Regions from separate parts of the Mus musculus genome. Here region 2 is reported to be linked to region 1. Evidence: microRNA targets listed by miRTarBase, many of them from high-throughput screens and not tested one by one. Region 1 holds a microRNA gene; the other region holds the end of a gene's coding sequence.
Evidence for each region. The annotated mature microRNA mmu-miR-3098-5p reads UCCUAACAGCAGGAGUAGGAGC and lies in region 1 at 5,124-5,145, shown strand. An mRNA with a match to its seed (bases 2 to 7 or 8) in the 3' UTR can be bound and repressed. Matches are read on the target gene's strand: a 7mer-m8 pairs with bases 2 to 8, a 7mer-A1 pairs with bases 2 to 7 and ends in A, and an 8mer does both.

Region 1 (11,192 bases):
ATGCAGATGTTTGTCTACAGCAATACTGAAAATACATATGTTTTTCTCGGTATAAATTTTAAATAACTCCAAATATATTAACTGTATGATATTTTAAAATAATATATCACTATTAGTTTTTTAAAAATCAACACAAATAGATCAAGTGAGCATAATTCTTATTATTCTGACACTAAGTCATTGAGTCTCATGGTCTCTGTAAAATGGTGTTGCTCTGGGGATCAAAAGAATCAAGGGATAAAAACTAGTCAATAGCCAGGGGTGGTGGAACATGTGTATAAAGGCAACATTAGAAGGCTGAGGCAGGAGGACTGCTGAGTTTGATGTCAGCCAGGACTGCAGTGAGGCTGCAAGGAGTACATCTCAACAACAACAACAACAACAACAACAACAACACAACAACACAAGACAATACTAATGAACTATTAAGTGACAATCAGTGTATACATACAGACTTATTGCTTCCATTTTAAAGTGAAAAAAATCCTTAAGAAATATTTTACTGAGCATTGGGGTTCCAGCCCAATCAATGGAATGGAAGGACATTAACTTCTACTTATCCTGTGCCTGATTTCAGTCTCATGGGGTGCAGAACGAAACAACCAAATTTACACATTGGGTAGTAAGGCTATGCGATTTTGCCCACACCACACATTCAGATTCTGATCTGTCAGACACACAGCCATACTGGATCTCAAGGGCATCCCTACCAGACCGTCGCTCCCGACCGCACTCCGGCAAAGGCTGCGTCACGTCCTGGACCTGCTTTTTCTCAACCTTTCCCTTCCCAACCTTTCGCACTGCCACATCTCACCTGGACCCCGCGACACCCCTCACCCGCCGCTTCTTCAACCGGAGAGCCCCCTGCTGAAAAGGAAGGAAGAAAACAATAGGGCAGGATACGCGCCAAACAACGAGATGGTTTTCAAGCTAGCGGAGGAACCGGCCAATCCGCGGCAGGCTGAGACGGAGACCCGCCTCAGCGCCAGGCGTCGCGCTCGCGGAGCCCGCAATTCCCTGTTCAAACCTCAACGGCTGCCAGGAGGCCAATCGCGACAGAGGCTGGAGAAGCCAACCAATCACAGCCCCGGGGGCGGGGCAAGCGGGCGAGGGGCGTGGCCCCGAGTCTGCGCTTTCCCGGCATCTCTACCGTAGTCGGCTAAGCATGGTCACCCGTTGTCTCTCCGCGGGCCGCCTAAAGCAGTCCAGCTTTTAACCATGTGGCGCCCGGCCCTGTACACTCCGGGAATATACTGCCCCAGCAAAACTCAGCTTGCCGTAGCGCCAGGCTCCCGTCCTCCACTTCCCTCACAGTTGAGGACGCGCAAGGGACAGGAGAGAGCTTATTTTAACGGAATTTCGGTTTGGGGGCGTCCTTTCCTGCGACAACAAACACCGCAGCGGTTCCATTCTTCCAGGGGCTAAACCGGAAGTATTTGACTGGACGCGCCTCACAGGCCGGAACTTGGAGGGCGGGGCTTGTGGCTGTGCGAGCCACCTTGGGATGACTCCCTAAGCTACCTGGGTAAGGCCCAAAATGGCTCCTCTTACTGTCACTACCGTGTGAGTCCCGCCTGGGACTGTAATCTGTGTCTTGGCTTTGGAATTCACACCCGCTCCCCATTTTTCCGGCTGGTTTGCTGCCCCTACTGAGGCGGACAGGCTAGAGTAATGGCAGGGAGTGTCCCTTGGGCGGCAAGTAGGAGACTGTGGGGCTGGGTGCCCTCGGCATGCCGAAGCTTCTCTCTGGGTAAGTGGCTTAAGTGTAGTAGGACGGCCGGCTAACGGCTTGTCACTGGGCAGTGCTGATTCATGCTTCTGTCCTTCCCTAGGCGTCCCACGGTTGGCCTTCGTAAGGCTCACTCTTCCACCTCCCAAAGTGGTTGATCGCTGGAACGAGAAGAGGGCTCTGTTTGGCGTCTACGACAACATTGGAATCCTGGGTAGGACGCGATTCCTGGTTTCTGAAGGATTAGTATGCTCTCTTGACTCTTTCGGTTTTATTTGTGGAGAGAATAGTAATGTGCCCGGGGCAAGCCTGGGGGCACAAACCTGTTACACGGGAGATGAAGCCAGGCAAGACCAGTCTGAGATGCGGAGAATAGTGAGGAGTGCGGGACTCAGTCTCACTAACACAGTAGTGGGCAGGTCTGAGGGCCAAAGCGAGTAAATGGGAGTGTCAGTATTTGAACCCAGACATTTCTGGCTGCAAAGTCTTTACTCCTTTCTTTCTTTCTTCTTTTTTAAATAAGATTTTTGTGTTTTCTGAATGTGTACCGTGTACTGCTCAAGCAATGCCTGCAGGTTCAGGGTGACTTCCTAGAACTTCCCTTTCAGGCAGTCGTGAACCTTCAGTTGAGAGTGCTGGGGAATCCTTTGGAAGAGCAAGTGTTACAAAGACTCTGTCCCTTGTACTAGACTGGTGTGTGCCTTGTCTGTCAGTAGTTCTGATCAGGGAGATGAAACTGTGTTGAAGGCCTAGTTGGGCTAGGCTGACTTCTCTTCTCTTGAAACTAGTATATATTCTGTCACGTTACAGGGAATTTCGAGAAGCACCCAAAAGAACTGATCAAGGGCCCAGTATGGCTTCGAGGCTGGAGAGGAAATGAATTGCAGCGTTGTGTCCGAAAGAAGAAATTTGTGGGAAACAGGATGTTCATTGAGGACCTGCATAACCTTAACAAACGGATCAGCTATCTCTACAAACACTTTAACCGACATGGGAAGTACAGATAGGACGGGAAATGTGTCACCCTGGAGAAGGGGAACAGGACTTATCCCAGCAAGGAGAGAGCTTTGTGTGCTCGATGTAATAAAAAAATGGGGCTCCTTTGGAATCTGATATGCCCAGTGCTACATTTACTCATGCACTCTGACGTCTGCCTCGTTCCTAAGTCACATGATCTTTTGTTACTATTACTTACAGCCCAGTTATGCTTGTGGCCTTTATAACAATCATTTATTGCTGGCACTTTCTGACACTGGCACCTCGTGTAAGTTTTTAAAGAATTTATTTTTATTTATTTTATCTTATTTTTTTGTAATCTTGGAGCTGAAACCCAGGGACTTGCTCATTCTAGGGAACTCTGCCACTAGCCGCCCAGGCCCTTGGAAGTGTAGCTGCTATTTCTAAAGACTCTGCCACCCCAAAATGAACTAGGAAAGTGAAATTACACTTTGTACTGCTCTTATCAGTTATAAGTTAGGGAACTTGTCTGAGTACCACAGCATTTCCCATCCTCTTGAATAGGGCAGTTTTGTGGAGGCTGACCTTGAGTCATGCCCAGTTTTATGAAGTGTTAAAGATCACACCCAGTATTACCCCTGTGTGTGCTACCCTGTTTGCTTTTTTTTTTTTTTTAGGGGAAAAAAATGTCATTTAAGAAAGATATTTTAGGGCTGGTGAGATGGCACTGACTGCTCTTCTGAAGGTCCTGAGTTCAAATCCCAGCAGCCACATGGTGGCTCACAACCACCCATAATGAGATCTGACGCCCTCTTCTGGTGCATCTGAAGTCAGTCACAGTGTACTTATTTTTAATAATAAAAAAGTCTTTGATCATTGGACCAGAGCAAGTGGAGTTGACCAGAGAGAGCAAGGTCAACTGAGGCAGCAGAGGTCCTAAATTCAATTCCCAACAACCACATGAAGCCTCACAACCATCTGTACAGCTACAGTGTACTCACATACATTAAATAAATCTTTTTTTAAAAAGAAAGATATTTTAATACAGGTTTGAGCATCAGGGCTATGAGAGAGGTGTTCAGAGGTAAAACACTTGAGAGCATGAGTGTGGGCTTCCCTGAGAGACTCTTCTATATGGCATAGTGCTGGCGTCTTGGATATACCAAGTACTTTATAGTGAGCTATAGACCCTCTGCTGCACTTTGCTTTTGTTAGTATATATTACAAAAATAATAGGTTTTGCTATGACATTCTTCATTTACTTCTTTTGGTTTTTTGAGATAGGGTTTTCTCTATGTAGCCTTGGCTATCCTGGAACTCAGTATGTAGACCAGGCTAGCCTTGAACTCATGGAGATAATACCTTAGTGTTGGATCTAAGGCTTAAGCCACCACATTTTCCACAGGTTTTTGAATTTATGTTTCAATTGAAATCAATTCAGTGAGAAGTCTGGAGATGACAGAAAGGTAATCCAGGGAATTTTTCTTGCATTTTTTTTTTTTTTTTAAACAGTCTTGGGGCTGGAGAGATGATTCCAGCCATCTCCCAGGGATGCTCTTGCAGGTTGCCCAGGTTAATTCCCAGCTCACACATGGTGACTCAAGGCTGACTATACTTCCAGTTTCTGGGCTTCCCATGGAGACAGGCATGCACATGTGCACAGGCATAGCTGCATGTATTATTGCATGTAAAACATGAAATAATAATAATAAGCCGGGCGGTGGTGGTGCACACCTTTAATCCCAGCACTCAGGAGGCAGAAGCAGGTGGATTTCTGAGTTCGGCTATACAGAGAAATCCTGTCTCGAAAAAACAAAACAAACATAAAAACAAAAACAAACAAACAAACACCAAAAACCTATAGTCTCTCAAAGTCAGGCTCAGGCTGGCCTGGAACTCTTATAGCTCAAACTGGGACCCATCCTCCTGCCTCTACCTCCAGAGTGACAAGATTATATGTGTGAGTCCTTGTATCCAGCTTCAAACTACTGTTTAATCCTCATATTTAGTGGCCATGTCCAAGGCTATATAATACCTACTTCTTTTTATAAAAAAGTATTGCCGGGCGGTGGTGACGCACGCCTTTAAAACCAGCACTTGGGAGACAGAGGCAGGAGGATTTCTGAGTTTGAGGCCAGCCTGGTCTACAGAGTGAGTTCCAGGACAGCCAGAGCTACACAGAGAAACCCTGTCTTGAAAAAAACAAAACAAAACAAAAAAGTATTACAGAGACACACAGGCAAACAAAGCAGAGCTTGGGGATTCTCTTGGAAGAGTGGGGGGAGGGACTGTAGGAGCCAGAGGGGTCAAGGACATCACAAGAAAACCCACAGAATCAACTAACCTGAGCCCTTAGGAGCTCACAGAAACTGAACTGCCCACCAGGGAGCTTGCATGGGACTGAGCTAGGCCCTCCACACATTGTGGTTGGGAGGAGTCCTAACAGCAGGAGTAGGAGCTCTGATTATCCCCTGCTTCTGCTGCCTGCCTTTAGGACCCTTTCCCCACAACCGGCTGCCTTGCCCAGCCCTAATAGAAGAGGTGCCTTGTCTTACTGTACTTGATATGCCATGGCTGGTTGATAGCCACTGAGGCCTGACCTGGGGAGAACAGGGGAGTGGGGATCTGGGTGTGGGGAGGAAAAGTGGCAGGGAGAGACTATGGAGGGAGGGAAGCTGTGGTTGAGAGGGAAGCTGTGGTTGGGATGTAGAATAAAATTTAAAAATGTTAAAAGTATTGCAAATCCAAGAAAATGAATTGCTTGTAGACTCAAGTGAGCTCTGAAGGTAGAAAAATTAGGGTGGTTATCCTATTTGATTTAAATCTAAGTTCTGTGTCAATGATCTTTTATGACGTAACAGTCCATTCTTAAACTCAATGACTAAAACAACTTCAAATCATTTTCTCTGGGTTTTCTTCTTCAGATGGTTAATCTAGTTTGCTGTCACGAGGCCATATTCAGCAGTGGGCTAACACGCCTGAGACATCTTCACTCACATCTACTTAGTCAATTGGTAGTTTGGGTTGTTTTTGTTTTTTTGAGAACCAAATCAGGGCCACTGCAAGAACAGCAAGTGCTTGTAACCTCTGAGCCATCTCTCCACAGCCCCAGCTAAGTTCTTTTGGCACAAGGTCTTATTATTCAGCCTCTCTTGGGCTTGGTTGCTTAGAGACTTGATCCCAAAGGACAAAATTTAAATAACAAGGGTTGATAAAACGAGGCTAAGAAGTCTTGAGGTCTTCAGGCATGGAGGCAAAAACCTTTGAACCCAGGACTGATCCCTGGAGACAGAGGCAGGCCTGGTCTACATATCAAGTTCCAGGCTTGGCTACACAGTGAAATCCCATCTTTAAAAAAAAAAAAAAGAAAAGAAAAAACAAAAAAGCCATGAAGCGCGGTGGTCACCCCTTTAATCCCAGCACTTGGGTAGCAGAGGCAGGTGTTTCTCTATAAGCTCAAGGTCAGCTTAGTCTACAGAACAAGTTTCAGCACAGCCAAGGCTACACACACACACACACACACACACACACACACACACACACACACACACACAAACCCTGTCTTGAGAAACCAAAGAGGAGGGGGAAAGGTAGAAAAGGAAGAGGAAAATGTTTTAATACAATCTCACAAGTGTTAGTGAAGAAGGAACTAACAAGTCAGCCCCAGAAGCCCGTATAAAATTCTTCCTGCTGTCAGTTACAAAAAGTCTTATTTTTCAAGCACAGAGCTGGATTGTTTTTGTAATGAAAAAGAATGCAACATTTCCCTTCAACAAACACTGAATCATTGTGTGGAAGGACCTTGGAGGCATATACACCACAAACCAAGGCTACACCACTGCCTGTAAAAAGATTTCATCCGTCAGGTACAGGGTGCGTATGTAAACAAGATGCATATCTGAATTCGGTAATTGCGTGGGAAAAATATTGTTGCAGCATGAGTTTTTGTTTTTAGGTTTATCCATTTACTGTGTACACAGTGTTCTGCCTACACGTAGGCCTGCACACCAGAAGAGAGCACCAGATCTCATTATAGATGATTATGAGTCACCATGTGGCTCCTGGTAATTGAATTTAGGATCTCTGGTAGAGCAGCTCTTAACCACTGAGCCAGCTTTCCAGTCCCACATGAGGTTTTTGTTTTTGTTTTGTTTGTTTGTTTTTAAAAGGGGGTGAGAAAATTGTGTGTGCACATGCATGCACGTGTGTGTGTGTGTGTGTGTGTGTGTGTGTGTGTGTGTGTGTGTGTGTGTGTGTGTGACTGTGGATTGAAGTGCTTGAAGTAGGTCTTGGAAAGGGTCAGTGCTAGGAATTCAATGGGAAATGACTATATAGACACAGGCAGGAAGGAGTCCCTAACCAACCCCAGGGGAGCAGGTAGAGGGCAGGGAAGGCTTCCTGTAGGTGATCAGATCACCACTAATTTATCCTAAAGGAATGTTAAAAGTGGGGAGGGGGTGCAGAGGGAGGTAACAATTTTTTTTTTTTCAGGCAAATGATGCAGAGCAAAATGGCACAGATGTGAGAAATAGCATGGAGCCAGCACACAGCAAGGCTACAAGTAGTATTTGTTAGTGGAACTACTTTGTGTGCCTAAAGATAAGCTGAGAAGTTAAGAGTCAGAGCACGAGGAAACCTACATTTAGTAAAATGATCTAGCCACTTTGGGAAATCCACAGCTGCCCAAAAAGCTAAACACAGAGTTACGTATGGATCGGTAATGTCACTCAGAGGTGTCACCCAAGAGAATGGAAGCGTGTCTGTTCCACAAGAGCAGAAAGGGCCATGCTAGTGCAGGCCATTATGGTGGCCACAAGAGGAACCCAACCAAACCAATGCCTACCTGCTAGCAGAGCCCCGTGGGCCAGGTGCCTAGGAGGTAGAGCAGGAGGATCAGGAGTTCCAGGCCTTCTTCAGATACATAGTGAGTCTGAAGGACGCCTGAGTTTGGTCCCTGGAACTAATTAATCCCTCATGGAAGAAGGAGAGAACCAACTCTTGCAAACTGATCTCATTTCCATATGTGCATGCCTGCCCCCCAAATAAATTAATGTTTTAAAAGGACAAATGTCCAGCAATTGATTTAAAAAAAAAAGTAACCAAGATTTTGAACAGTTGTACAGTGAATTATTATTCAATTACTAAAGGAATGAAGTACCCATACATGCCACATTCAGATGAATATTTAAAACATGTTAGATGGGCAGGCAGTGGTGGTGCATGCCTTTAATCCCAGCACTTGGGAGGCAGAGGCAGGTGGATCTCTGAATTCAAGGCCAGCCTGGTCTACAGAGTGAGTTCCAGGACAGCCAGGAACACACAGCTACACAGAGCCTGTCTTGAAAACAAAAAGCAAAAAACAAAAACAAACAAACACCATGTTAGATCAAAGAATCAGTCATAAAGTGCCAAATCCTATATGATTCTGTCTCACTGAAATGTGGGGAATAGACATGTCTACAGAAGCAGACCTGGTTTAGTTGCTGCTCCTTGGGTGGAATAAGGGCTGGGGAGTGGCTTTAGCCCATACCGGGTTCTCTGGGGATTGTGTGGAGACACGATGGACGTGGTAAATGCTAGTCAGAGAGCACAGGGTTTCCGAACAGCCGGAAATCAGTTAATAGAAACAGATTATAACACTGGTGTAGCAGAAATTTATCTGGCATGAATTCCCGAGTGATAACATATAGGCTTTTGTAAATAAATAGTCAGTGCTTGTTATCTGAGGTGTTCTGAGTGGTCCTTCCAGAGGATGCACAGAGCCTTTGCATAACTTAGTCCTGAGACATACTTGGCAAACTAGGAAGCCTTGTTTGGCTGAGAATTGCTTAGGTAATGGTTCCTTCAGACAGCTCCTAGGTCAGAGGGGGTTTTGATATTCAGAAATTGGCTTGGTAATAGTTCCTTTTGTGTAGGAATAAAGAGGCTTCTGCAGTGATTAGGAATTCAGCCCATCAGAGGCTGAAGAAGCCATAATAAATCCTGTAGTTGATCCTCATAGCCACATTACTCAAAACACTGACATTCTTGAAAGTGGCGGGGTTTTTTTGTTTTTTGTTTTTTTGTTTTTTCGAGACAGGGTTTCTCTGTGTAGCCCTGGCTATCCTGGAACTCACTTTGTAGACCAAGCTGGCCTCTAACTCAGAAATCTGCCTGCCTCTGCTTCCCAAGTGCTGGGATTAAAGGAGTGTGCCACCATGCCTGGCTTGGTTTTTTTTTTTTTTTTTTTTGGTTTTTCGAGACAGGGTTTCTCTGTATAGTCCTGGCTGTCCTGGAACTCACTTTGTAGACCAGGCTGGCCTCGAACTCAGAAATCTGCCTGCCTCTGCCTCCCAAGTGCTGGGATTAAAGGCATGCGCCACCACGCTGGGCTTTTTTGTTTTGTTTTGTTTTTAAGGAGAGTGTCTCATGTGGCCCAGGTTGACTCTGAACTCACAATGTAGTCCAGGCTAGCCTTAAACTCCAGATCCCCTTTTCTCTGCTTCCCAGGTGCTGGGATTACACAGGTCTGCCACCATACCTGATTGCTAAGACAATATTTTATATTCTAACAACAAATAACAAAAACAAAACAAGCAAACTAAAAGGTTAGGTTGGGCTGTAGATGTTGCTTAAATGATAAACTGCTTCCTTAGCATGCAGGAAACTCTGAGTCCATTCTGCCATACTGAGTTAATTGGACACGATGGTACACACCAGCAGTGCAGCTCTCAGGAGGTTCCAGGGCATCCTTGGGGACACTGTCTCAATATTAATATACATATATGAATTCATAAACATAATCCTGTCCAAAAGTTTGACTGCACAGACACACAATAAATAAATGATTGTAATTTAAAAATTAAATATATATATATAGTTCCTAGTTGGTGGAAGTGTTTTGAGAAAGGTTAGGAGATGTGGCCTTGTTGGAGGAGTGTCGTTGGGGGTGGGCTTTGAGGTTTCAAAAGCCCATGGCAGGCCCGGAATCTGTCTCTTTCTTTCTACCTGCTACCTGTAGATGAGATGTAAGTTATAACTACTGCTCCAGTGCCTTGCCTGCAGGCTGCCATCCTCCCTGCTAAGGGTCAAGCATTCAACCTCTGAGATTGTAAGCACTCTCCCAATTAAATGGTTTTTTTTTTGTTGGTGGTGTTTTTATTTTGTTTTGTTTTGTTTTTGTTTTGCTTTGGCCATGAAGAGAAACATGAGACATTGTTGTGGTAAATTTCCCAAATATGCCCCAGCAATGAAAACAACACAGCTCATATGTTTACACGCTGTGCGCCTAGATTGGGCAGATCTACCGCTACACTACCTTAATCTTCCACATCTATGAGACCCCTTAAAACTTGCAGGTTCTCCAGGCCTTGTGCTTCTGCTCTGCTTTTCTCCTTCTTCCTCCTTCTCTGCATCCTCTCCCTCTTCTGCTTTCTCCTTCTTCTCTTCCTCTCACCTTCCACTCCACCTTCCCTTTTATCTGCCCAATCATCAGCTCTCCTTTATTTTACGAATTAAGGTGGGAAGCAGGTTTACAGGAAATCACTTGAGTGCTGACTCATTCCTTGTTCTCAACCACTCATAGGAGAATTGAATTAACATCAAATATAATTAGCCCCAGGGCTATCCACAACACTTTCCCCTTTCTGTCCAATTAAAAGACTGTTTATCTCAGATATAATTGAACATAACTATTATTATTTTGTAACTTATAAAGTACAAGAGACCTAACACCCAGTCCATCATGTTTGTTAATTAAACAGAACCTTTGTCATCTATCCTTACTTAAAAGACTTATAATTCTACATCTGGCTATGTCTTGGCTTTAGATTGAATGCCATCTGAACACCATCCTCTCAAAACTGTCCTCTCAAAGTAAAAAGCCTGGGTTGGCTAGGAGACTATGCAGTTTTTCAACCCCACCAGAAATCCAAGAATGACTGATATTAACTGAAAATATATAGAAAACCTAAAACAGCTTCCAAAACGTAGCCAATCCATAGAGACCGCTGATCACCTGGACAGTCCCTTACTTCAGCACGTTGGAGCGTCGGTCTTCAGCCTACTGCCAGGGTCATCTGACAGACTTAGAGAAACAGGAATATTTAGCACTAGCCTACTCTGTCTTGGCAGAATCAAGCTGTCCTTACCTGTAATTGTGTCCTTTCTTTGGACAGTATTATGTCTGTAGATGAAATGAGGCAATTCTTGCCTAGTGGCTATTTTGCCACAGCTGGAGTAACTCAAAGATGCTCAGTATCTTCTCTGAATCCAAGACAGGGAAAGCTGTCAGGAATAGACTGGTCTCAACAACAAATGAATAAATAACATTAAATGTCACATTCTTTGGACTGCTGATGTTTTTGAAAACTAACTATGTGGAGTAATCTAGACTGTTGTCTGTTAACTACTCTCAGCCATTTCTAATTAAAATAACTGAGAACACCCTAACAATAAACTCAGAGCCATGAATTTCCTCTTTGGCCCTTAACTCACAGGCTTAAACATCTCAGATCTGTTTATAATA
Region 2 (11,192 bases), not on the chromosome of region 1:
AAATGAATTGCCAAAACCACTGAGGCCTCCTCTCAAAACAAAACATATAAAAGTAACAGAATCTAGCTGGGCTATGGTGGGACACAGCTTTAATCTCAGGAACCAGAGACTGGTTGGTTTTTTGTTGTTTGTTGTTTCTTTTGGTTGGGTTTTTTTTTTTTTTTTTTTTTTTTTAATTATTATTTGGGGGAGTGGTGTTGGTAGGTTGTTTTGGTTTTTTTTTGAGACAGGGTTTCTCGGTATAAGAACTCTGGCTGTCCTAGAACTTTATTTGTAGACCAGGTTGGCCTGGAATTTACAGAGATCTGCCTACCTCTCTGCCTATGCCTAAGCCTAAGCCTAAGCCTAAGCCTAAGCCTATGCCTATGCCTTTCAGAGTTGGGATTCCGGGCATGCCACACCACTGCCCAGCTCGTTTATATTCTTAAAAGCAAAATATTACATTTCATTACTGCTTCATGAAGACAGAAAGTAATTGAAACTTAAACATATAAAAACATCTAACTGCTTTGTCCTTTTTTAATTTCAATATGTTTATACTGGTGACTTTTAAGTCATCTTGTATTATCCTGGGTAGGGTGAAAACCCTCAAGTAGTATTTTTATGAGCCTGGCATGGTGATATAACTGAAATCCCTGCACTTGGGAGGGTCACAAGTTTGAGGACCACCTTGGTGTATATAAGCATGATCTTTGTTCACACATAAAAGAGAGAGGGAGTATGTTTGTGTGTTTCATGTGCATACATATATACACACTCCTAACATTCCCACTCGGGAGGCCAAGGCCAGCACATCTCTAAATTTGAGGCCAGCCTGCTCTACAAAAAGAATACCATTCCAGCCAAAGCTAAAACAGAAATCCTCTCTAAAAAGAACAAAACAACCGAAACCAAACAAACAAAAAAATACAAGCATTCTGTGGTGGGTGGCATAACAATAAAACTTACTAAGTGGTTATAGGATAAACAAACAGTTATTAGGTCCTTTTACTTTTTTGTTTTGTTTCTATCTTGTTTTTTTTTTTGTTTGTTTGTTTTTGGTTTATTTTTGTTTTGTTTTGTTTTTCAAGACAGGGTTTCTCTGTATAGCCCTGGATGTCCTGGGACTCACTCTGTAAACCAAGCTGGCCTCAAACTCAGAAATCCGCCTGCCTCTGCCTCCCAAGTGCTGGGATTAAAGGCGTGCACCACCACCACCAGACTTTTTGTTTTGTTTCTTAAGTCAGAGTTTCTCTGTGTAGCTTTGGTTGTCCTGGAACTCACTCTGTAGACCAGGCCAGCCTTGAACTAACACATAGGTTGGACCTCTGAATGGCCTTATACTTGGATATTTGGCTTGTATCATTATAAGGTTGTTTTTCTCCAAACAAATTTCCTGTGTTTTATTTAACAGTTTTATCTATTTTGTCTTATAGTCTCTTCTCTCTATTAACAAGAAGTAGCAGTTGCTACTTTCTTTCTTCTTCTTCTTCTTCTTTTTTTTTTTTTTTTTTTTTTTTTTTTTGGTTTTTGGTTTTTCGAGACTGGGTTTCTCTGTGTCCTGGAACTCACTCTGTAGACCAGGCTGGCCTTGAACTCAGAAATCTGCCTGCCTCTGCCTCCCAAGTGCTGGGATTAAAGGCATGGCCACCACGCCCGGCCAGTTGCTGCTTTTCTTATCCCCACAGCTTCTAACCATTATGTGCTGAGTAAATAATGCTACCTATGATTTTAGAACGGATTTCTCAGGTATAGGGAGTTGATTTCTTAATACTTTTTGAATTATGAAAAATAGCAATATTAAAATTTATAATTGAGGAATTTATAGAAAGATGACATGCTTTTCTTATAATTGATCACTTAATTTTTTTAATTAAATACTCTATAATATTAACGATTTTTTGCTTCTTTTGATTCCACCAAATACTGAAAGGCATCGTATCTGGATGCATATTCCTTAACTTAAGACAACAATCTGTTTTTTTTTTTTTAATGTTATAAAAATAAGTGATTTCAGAGTAGATGTAGTGGCACATGCTTTTGTCTTTAATAGAGGAGGCAGAGGGATCTGTGACTTAAAAGCCAGTCTGATCTACATTGTGAGTTCCAAGACAGCCAAAACTACATAATGAGACCCTGTCTCAAAAAAAGAAAAAAAAATTTTTTGAAATTTAGTAGGTTTTCACAATTTTTTCTTTAGTATAATACATATTTTTCTAGCCGTTCTGATCTGTAAGCTAGAGGCTGGAACCCAAAACCACATACATTTTTAAAATCGAGTATAGAATTCACCAGGGTTGAAAATGACTGGCAGACAATATATGCATGGACCTTGATATGGGTGGATAGATTAAGGTTGAACCTTAGACACAATGTGTGTTGTTAGTTGTAGAGCAGCCATATGTGCCATGGGTGCTTTGTGTTAGTTATCTGCTCTAGTCTTACAGCTGAAAATTGACCTCTGCCTTCCCCCATCCCTTACTTTTTTTAGATCCCTGTCTCCAGAATCTCCCCGATGCTGTTTTCTACATCACAGGTCTCTCCCAGGGCTCGTTTTCCAATCTCCATCACTAGTCCTTACAGAACAGGAGCCAGAACTCTGGCAGACATCAAAGCAAAAGCCCAGTTGGTCAAAGCACAAAAGGCAGCAGCCGCAGCAGCTGCTGCAGCTGCTGCAGCCGCCTCAGTTGGAGGGACCATTCCGGGACCTGGCCCTGGGGGTGGACAAAGTCCAAGAGAGGGTGGTGAAAGGAAAATTGCTGGAGGAGGAAGTGCAGGCTCAGACCCAGTCAGTACAAATGGAAAAGGTCCCACACTGGAACTGGCCGGAACTGGAAGCAGGGGAGGTACGAGAGAACTTTTACCCTGTGGTCCTCAACCTGAGACCAATATGCCAGGCCAAGCACAGCCTCCTGGTATCTCTGGAGCACAACTACAGCAAACCTCCTCAGTGCCTACGGGACTTGCCAGCAGTGGAGCATGCACAAGTGTCCCATTACCAGCCCACATAGAAATATCAAACAGTGAAAAACCAAACCTCCACAAGGCAACAGCCACAGCAGCCTCTCCTTGCCACTTGCAAGACCCTAGGAGTTGCAGACTTGAAAAAGCTCTGTCTCCAACAGGGCCTCCTCTGATCTCAGGAGCCTCAACTGTTTATTTTGTAGCTGATGGCACAGTTGAGCCCAAAGCAGGTTCTAATAAGAATGCACCAAAGCCTTCAGCCTTAGCAAAGACAACTGCTCCTGCTCCACTAGATATGACTTCCTCTCCTGTGACAACAGCCAGTTTAGAAAAACTCCCTGTACCCCAGATCAGTGGAACTGCAACATCTACTGGATCAGCTCCATCCTCAAGCACTTTGCCAGCAGCTTCTAGCCTTAAAACCCCAGGAACTTCTGCAAATATGAATGGACCCATTTCAAGAACAAGTTCTAGTATCCCTGCTAATAATCCTTTAGTTACTCAGCTGCTCCAGGGCAAAGATGTTCCCTTGGAGCAAATTCTGCCTAAGCCTCTCACCAAAATTGAAATGAAAACAGTTCCACTGACTACAAAAGAGGAAAAAGGCATAGGGATATTCCCTGGTATCAGTGTAATGGAAAGTAGCAGCAGAGAGGAAGTTAATGGCAGGCAGGCCCATCTGGCTATCCCGCAGTTGGGGAAACCCTTGCAAAGTAAACAGCTTTCCCAGGTTCCAAGGCCAGTTTTCACTGCTAAGGACCGGAAGGACCCCTGCATTGACACTCACCAGTACCGAGAAGGTCTAAGTAAAACAACGCAAGATCAGCTCTTTCAGACTCTTATCCAGAGGGCTCAGAGACAGAGTGTTCTTTCATTTGTACCGCCCTCTCAGTTCAACTTTGCTCACTCAGGTTTCCACTTGGAAGACATCTCCACAAGTCAGAAGTTCATGCTGGGTTTTGCTGGCAGAAGGACATCCAAGCCTGCAATGGCAGGTCACTATTTACTTAATATTTCCACCTATGGCAGGGGTACAGAGAACATTAAAAGGACCCATTCTGTAAATCCTGATGATCGATTTTGTCTAAGTAGCCCCACTGAGGCGTTGAGAATGGGGCATGCAGATTATAAAAACACAACTGGAGAAATCAGCAGCAAAGAAGATGAAAGTGATGAAGATCGCGTAGGTGATGAACAGGAGCCTATTTCAGTGAAGGAGGAGCCATGGGCTTCCCAGAGTTCTGGCAGGCATCCGCACCATGGGGAAGCTTCATCTACCAATGATTGTTTAGCTAGCAAGAATGGTAAGACTGAGGCACCAGTGAGTGAGCAAACCACTTTAGGCCAGGAGAATTACATATTCTCTAGAGGCCAAGCATCTGATGAAAAGAGCCTGCCTAGAGATTTTATTCCGGCAGCACATAAACAGATGACTCATGCTGTGAGAGGTAAGACAGTGTGTAGCAGCCCTGAGCTTTTCAATTCTACTGCTCTTTCTCTTCCCGCAGACAGTCCCACACATCAGCCTCTACTCCTTCCACCACTGCAAACCCCCAAATTGTATGGAAGCCCCACACAGATAGGGCCAAGCTATAGAGGCATGATCAATGTCTCCACCTCATCAGACATGGACCATAACTCTGCTATACCAGGCAGCCAGGTATCTAGCAATGTAGGGGACGTCATGTCGTTTTCAGTGACTGTCACTACCATCCCTGCCAGTCAAGCAATGAATCCCAGCAGCCATGGCCAGACAATTCCTGTTCAGACTTTTCCTGATGACAATAGTATCGAGGACACACCATCAAAATGTTACTGCCGGTTGAAAGCCATGATCATGTGCAAAGGATGTGGAGCTTTCTGCCATGATGATTGCATTGGCCCCTCCAAACTCTGTGTCTCCTGCCTTGTTGTTCGGTAATAAGACTGTAGCGTATGTAAAGGAGGGAAGGGAAGGCTTAAAAAGTCATGTTCTTGCACCCTTTTTAAATCACAGAAATAAAGTTTCAGTTGTCTCAAGAGACATTAATCAGGAATACAGAATGCAGGTCTTCACATTTACAGGAAGAGCACCTTGTATAGTAGGTCTGAGTCAAATAGGACTGAATTGGTGACAAAGTTTGCACTTACAAAATCATGTAAATATGTCACATTTTGTTTTAACATTTTTTTCAAAGTATTTAGGTAATGATGTATTAACTTCACATTCAGATTTATGTTCCATTTCTTTTGACTGAGAAAAGTTGAACGGTATGCATGGTGAAAGGAAGCTGTCTGCCTCTGACCTTTCCCCAGGCTATGAAAAGGAAAGTGAGGGAGCGATCATAGTGCTGATTATGTCTTCACAGACTGGCTCAGGTTCTTCACGAAGAAGATGGCCTTTGTGGGATTTAATTCGGGGTTTGCTCATCCCTTTACTTTAGGTGGAACTATTTTCAGTGAAATTTTCAAAAGGTATTAACAGCACAGACAGTGTTTTTGACCCTGACAGCCCTGGCTTAGCTTTTGGCTTCCATGAATCAGTACTGTTGTTAAAAGCAGAGCTCTGCTGTTAAGAGGTTCTGTTTCTAAGGGACTGCTGAGTTAGATTAGTATATACGTGGCAGTAGTTCAGCAATAATACATCACAACATTGCATCAATCATGGGCTCCCACCAATAAACACTTTACGGGTGGGTGTGTGTGTGTGTGCGCGCGCGCGCATGTGCGCATACTGTGTAATGTTGGAAAAGGGATGAAATTGAAGAAACTGAAACTTCACGGAATTTGGAAGAGTGGTTTTAACATGGGACAGAAAATAGTCTTTTCCTATTCTCTCAATCCATTTTTAGGTAGAAAGGGTCTTAAGTGATACTTATGCTTTGGCATCCAGAGCATAAGAGATGAATGCAGCTACCCTGTGCCATCCTACTATAATAAATTTTGCACCCACACACAAGTACACAGTTTGCTGTTTTAGAAAGTGATTCTACAATCTCGGCTGTCAGGACAGCTGGGATGCTTACTGTGAAAGGGTCTTGTGAGTGACTAATGGAATATATGGCTGTGAGATTTTGCTGTTTTTCTTTCCTTTTGATTTTTTTTTAATCCTCCCAGTACTCCAGAGACAGAGACAGACCAGTCTCTGAGTTCAAGGCCAGCCTGATCTTCATAATGAGCTCCAGACAACCAGGGCTATCTAAGAAGCCTTGTCTCAAAACAAAAATAATCACAAAAACCCTAAATAAATAAAAGAAGTAAAAAAAAACCACACACACACAAGGAGCTGGAGAGATGGCTCAGTGGTTACGAGCACTGACTGCTCTTCTAGAGATCCTGAGTTCAATTCCCAGCAACCGCATGGTGGCTCACAACCATCTGTAATGGGATCTGATGCCCTCTTCTAGTGTGTCTGAAGACAGTGACAGTGTACTCATATACATAAAGAAATCTTTTTTTAAAAAAGAGAGAAAAGAAAAACTAGTTGGTGGACATGGTGGGTGACACGCCTTTAATCTCAGCACTTGGGAGGAAGAGGCAGGTGAATCTCTGGGTTAGGACCAGTATGGTTTGCATAGCAAGTTCCAGAGTACACAGTGAAACACTTGTCTTTTTTAAAAAACAAAAGCTAGCTACGAATTTTTAAAGAAATACTGTTTAAGTTAGAGATGGTTTAAAGAAAAATAGTTCACCAAAATTTAGTATTATATAGTCTGTATTGTTTGGTTTCAAGTCTCCTAATTTGAAGTATGTGGTGTAATATTGCAACCCAGTATAGGTGTATTTCAAAAGCTATTTATAAAACTCAGAACAATTTAACTTGCTAATTATATCACCTTCCAGATTGGAGAAAGGAGACAGTAAGGTATTTTGCCTGCCTTGTGATGCCCTCCCCTGACCACCCTACCTTTTTGCATCAAACACTGGGAATGCTTCCTCAGTCCCTGCTCCAAACTATGAAGCTCACCCTTCATTTTTCCTCCCTGCTATTGTGGACCTAAGCAATTACAGTTTAAATTCTGTATACAGCACTAGTCAAGACAATGTGATATCCTTCCACCTTCCCCCTTTATTTCAAGAAATGCATAGATAAGGGAGAAGAAAGGCTTCAAGGATTCATGGTTAAGAAGTGTGTATGTTCTGAAGTGAAGGACCAGTAAGAAATACAAGCCAGGCCGGGCGGTGGTGGCGCACACCTTTGATCCCAGCACTTGGGAGGCAGAGGCAGGCGGATTTTTGAGTTTGAGACCAGCCTGATCCATAGAGTGAGTTCCAGGACAGCCAGGTTTATACAGAGAAACCCTGTCTTGAAAGAGCCAAAAAAAAAAAAAAAAAATACAAGCCAGGATTCTGCTCCCAAACCTTCAGGACAATGGGTAGTCCCCATGGGACCTTAAAAGACCCATAGCTGAGTAGTCTCCCTTGTCTACCCTGCTTTAAGAGGGTGAATGACGGAATAGACTTTATGGTGTCAGTGAGTAGTTTGTATTAGAATAATTTTCCTATTTCCTACCTTGCTTTCTAGAAAGGCTTTTGCTCCATACTTCCCTTAATCTCAGAATGGATGGAAAAGAGGAAGACATTAGGGACTGTCAGGTCCATTTAAAGAGGAAATTACATTGTTACTCTTCTTGATCTCCTCAGGCTATGTAAGTCTGAAGTACTGTTCTTCTCCACTAAGTAATACCCAACTAATTTCCATTTAAAAGTATTCCAAAAGCAGCATTTACCAACAATTTTTTTAGATTGAAAATATATTAAATAAGAATCCATCTAGTCTATTTGTGTTAAAACATGCTTTCAGATGGAAGACGAACATTCATCTTATAAATGAACAGAAAATAAACTAGTCTGGCCCTTTGAGTTTGTCACTCCAGTAACTATTAACACAGATTTTGTCATGGCCTATCATTTCTTTTACCTTTAACTCAACTCTGAACTGATTGAATAAGTGCTAAGCTTATTCTTTGGGCTTTGGGTGGCAATTTTCAGTGAGGTATTAAATATATCTGATACCTGATGGGGCTGTGCCCCATCCAGCCCTCAAAGTAGTCTCTGTAAATCGCTGGGATAGTATTCATATTGTGTCATCTCAGTGTTATTTTTAAGTGTTCTGAGTTGCCTAAGTAGAACACTCTCTGAATCATAAGGACTTTTTGTTTTGCTTTTTGAATAATCACCATTCTTTAGCTCAGTAATATGGGGGTGGGGGAGCAGCACAAATAACCTGGAGTTGTTTGGCCTTGGTTCCTTAAGTCCTGTGTTCAAGACACTGAAGCTATCTCCCATGTTCTGTGTGAGATTTCTGAGTAAGATCTGGCAAGTGAGGGAGCTTTTCTTGAGAGGGGAAGGCTACATTTCTATGGGTATAGAAATGGGAATATTTGCGAGCCTATCTCAGATGTACATTAATAGACCTCACTGCCTTCCGGGTGAAGGTGTGTTGTCCTACATAGAACGGTCCCTTCAGTTACCATTCTGATTGCTCTATGCTGCTTTCCTCCTCTTAAAGTTTCATGAGCTCTTGGGTTAAATGGTTTGTTATGAGCAGGCTTTCCATTACTCATTGTTCTGCGATTTATTTTAGAGATTGTCCATGAGCACTGAACAAGGAGAAGAAGTTTCTTGTTGCTTTACAACAGTGTGTGCTAAGTGCTGGACTTGGCCATGGGTAGTCTGCAGCTCAATTTATAGAACAGTCCAAAGAGACTTTGCAAAACATGATAGGCAGGGACCTTTTCCTCTGTGTTTCAATACCTATATACCTATTGAACAAAGCAGTAGGTAGACATTTCCTAAAGTTGAAGCAGTAGCTTCATAGAGTCTTGGTTACTTTATTTTTTTTAATGCTTTACATTTGATACAACTATTGAAGATCAATTTAAAAATAACTTTCCAGTAATATATTTTAAGTAATATATATTTTAATATCTATGTAAAAAAGTGACAGTGGAGGACTGAATTTCTCATGTATACTATGTTTAATGGTAGGGTCTCACTGTTAAGGCACAAATTATTTCAAAGGAGTTGCTCTAAAAACAGATTATTTCCCGGAAAAAAAAAAATGCAATAATGGGAATGATTTGGGGCTTTTATTTTTTATTTTAAAAGAATATTGACTTATTTAGCACAAGCTATTTTTCCCTCTCTGGTGATAAGGTTTGTACAGACTGGTTTGGTAAATGCTAAATTTTTGTCTTTTGCCTTTTTAAAGGAATTGTTACCATTGGAATTGAGGGTATGTACAGAGAAGTTGGTGTCAATGCCATTTAATAAGTCATATTTTTTCACAAATAAGGAAAAATCATTTTAATGAGAATTTTAAGTATTTGCAATAAATATGTGTATATAGATTGTATGTATTCATATATTATTTTTCATTTTATTATTAAGTAAAAGATAATTAAAAGTGAAATTAAAAATCTTGTAGTTTTTGATGAATCTGGAGATCTAACATCTGAATGTAACATGGGTAAAGGCCTTCAAATAGTTGCCTTATACAGTTATGGGAAGGTCACCACAGACTGGGAAAGAGTAAATTGAGGAAACTTGGCCATAAGTCAGGACAGAGTATTTCAGAACTTAAGGAAAAATATGAAAACATGATAGCTCATCTCTGTTGTGTTTTCACCTTCACCAGTTTCCTAACCATCTAACAACACTGGAAGAGCGAGGAAATCAGAGTAGTCCCTTGTAGTGTGTCTGTGGCTCCTTTTAGCATCCCGGAAGGTAAGGAGACATCTTGGGCTTTCACAGCTATTGATGCTTTGTTACGTGTTGGTCATCACACACCAGGCCCTTGGGATGCTTAAGAACCAACCTCAGAAACACAGAAGGCTTGTGTTCTCTCTCCCAGTCTGTCTCCGAGTTGAGTTTCATAGCCAAATTCCTGTGCTTGACTGCTCGGGCGGTCAGAACCTAGATCTGTGTTAAGAACACCTGTGCCTTGGTTAGGTTTTTTTCAAATAATTAGGAAGATGGCTTGTGTCAAGAGCATTTAGGGAAATGAGCAGTAGGCAGACTTTTTGAAGTTAAATGTCTTTGTTCCCACACCTGTATTACTCTTGAATTAATGAGACCTCACTGTGTCAAATAAATGGTTTTGGGATATAATGGGTAGAACAGAATACGTACATGGATGGTCTTGGAAATATAGATCTCCTGGTCTATAAAATTTGTAATGAAGTTCAGTGATAATAAAAACACCTGCTCTTCCTCTTGAGTGCTGTAAAGGCATGTGCCACCAAGCTAGGCTACCTAGCATTTTCTTAAAGTAACTTGAAATTTCCAACATCTGAGTTATGTAAAAACACTGAAGTTAGTCTAGCCATCTAAGAGACAGTGTTACAGATCTCAACTAAAAGCACTATTCTAAAAAAGATTTTGGGGACCATGGAAAAATTCAGTCACTAAAAGCACTTGCTGCCCAAGCATAATGACCTGCCTGCAGGACCCTTAAACCCATAGAAAGTGGGTGTCTGTCATATTTGCCTGTAATACTACCTCTGGGGAGATAGAAAAAGGGCTGATCTTGGAGGTTTCCCAATCAGTTAAACTCCAGATTCAGAAAGAAAAGCCTATATCTCAAAAAATAAGGTGGAGCATCAACTGAAAACATTGCCACATGAACCTTTGTCTAACCTTTGTCCTCTTTGTGTGCCCATGCAGGCAAGTACACTTGAATTACGTATGTGTGCACACACAAATGAAATGTTTACTCTCGGGGGACATCTGCATCATAATCCCTAATCATAAAAGGAAGGAAGGTGAAATTAGCTCCCATCTATACTTAACAATTTACCACACTTACTTTGTAAGCAAAATCCATATCCTTTCGCTCCCAGAATCTTAGAAACCTATTTCATTGCTTTTTACACAACTTTATCTCAACTGACTTTCAGTCAAATTGAACATTTCAAGACTTTTATATACAAATCCTGTTACTTAAGTATCTATTGGGTACTTACTATGTGCTCAACCCTTACAAAGTGCTGGTTATGCAAGGATAAGAAAAATTCACTTAGGACTGGAGAGATGGCTCAATGGTTAAGAGCACTGGCTGCACTTTCAGAGGTCCTGAGTTCAATTCCCAGCAACCACATGGTGGCTCACAACCATCTGTAATGGTATCTGATGCTCTCTTCGGTGTGTCTGAAGACAGCTACAGTGTGCTCATATACATAAAATAAATCTTTAAAAAAAAAAAAGATACTGCCCATAGATGACAGCAGCTAATGTGGACTTGAGGTGCCACATTAATAAAATATATT

Region 2: miRTarBase lists Asxl2 as a target of mmu-miR-3098-5p. Seed matches in the 3' UTR shown: 7mer-A1 at 6,476-6,482.

What each region holds. Positions count from the first base shown.
Region 1 is chr6:125,190,684-125,201,875 of GRCm38, forward strand. Mir3098 (microRNA 3098) reads left to right here and starts at 5,109; the gene lies at 5,109-5,195. It overlaps Gm52878 (a long non-coding RNA gene), which reads left to right and starts at 6,051. Exons shown (of 2, transcript XR_003956366.1): 1 at 6,051-6,559; 2 at 7,178-9,813. Ncapd2 (non-SMC condensin I complex, subunit D2) reads right to left here and starts at 903. Exons shown (of 32, transcript NM_146171.1): 1 at 815-903. It overlaps Mrpl51 (mitochondrial ribosomal protein L51), which reads left to right and starts at 1,517. Exons shown (of 3, transcript NM_025595.3): 1 at 1,517-1,750; 2 at 1,833-1,943; 3 at 2,540-3,709. The coding sequence starts at 1,672. The coding sequence ends at 2,736.
Region 2 is chr12:3,497,509-3,508,700 of GRCm38, forward strand. Asxl2 (additional sex combs like 2, transcriptional regulator) reads left to right here. Exons shown (of 13, transcript NM_001270988.1): 13 at 2,471-9,344. The coding sequence ends at 4,864. Among named protein-coding and RNA genes, the nearest start is that of Dtnb, 69 kb to the right of the region's middle.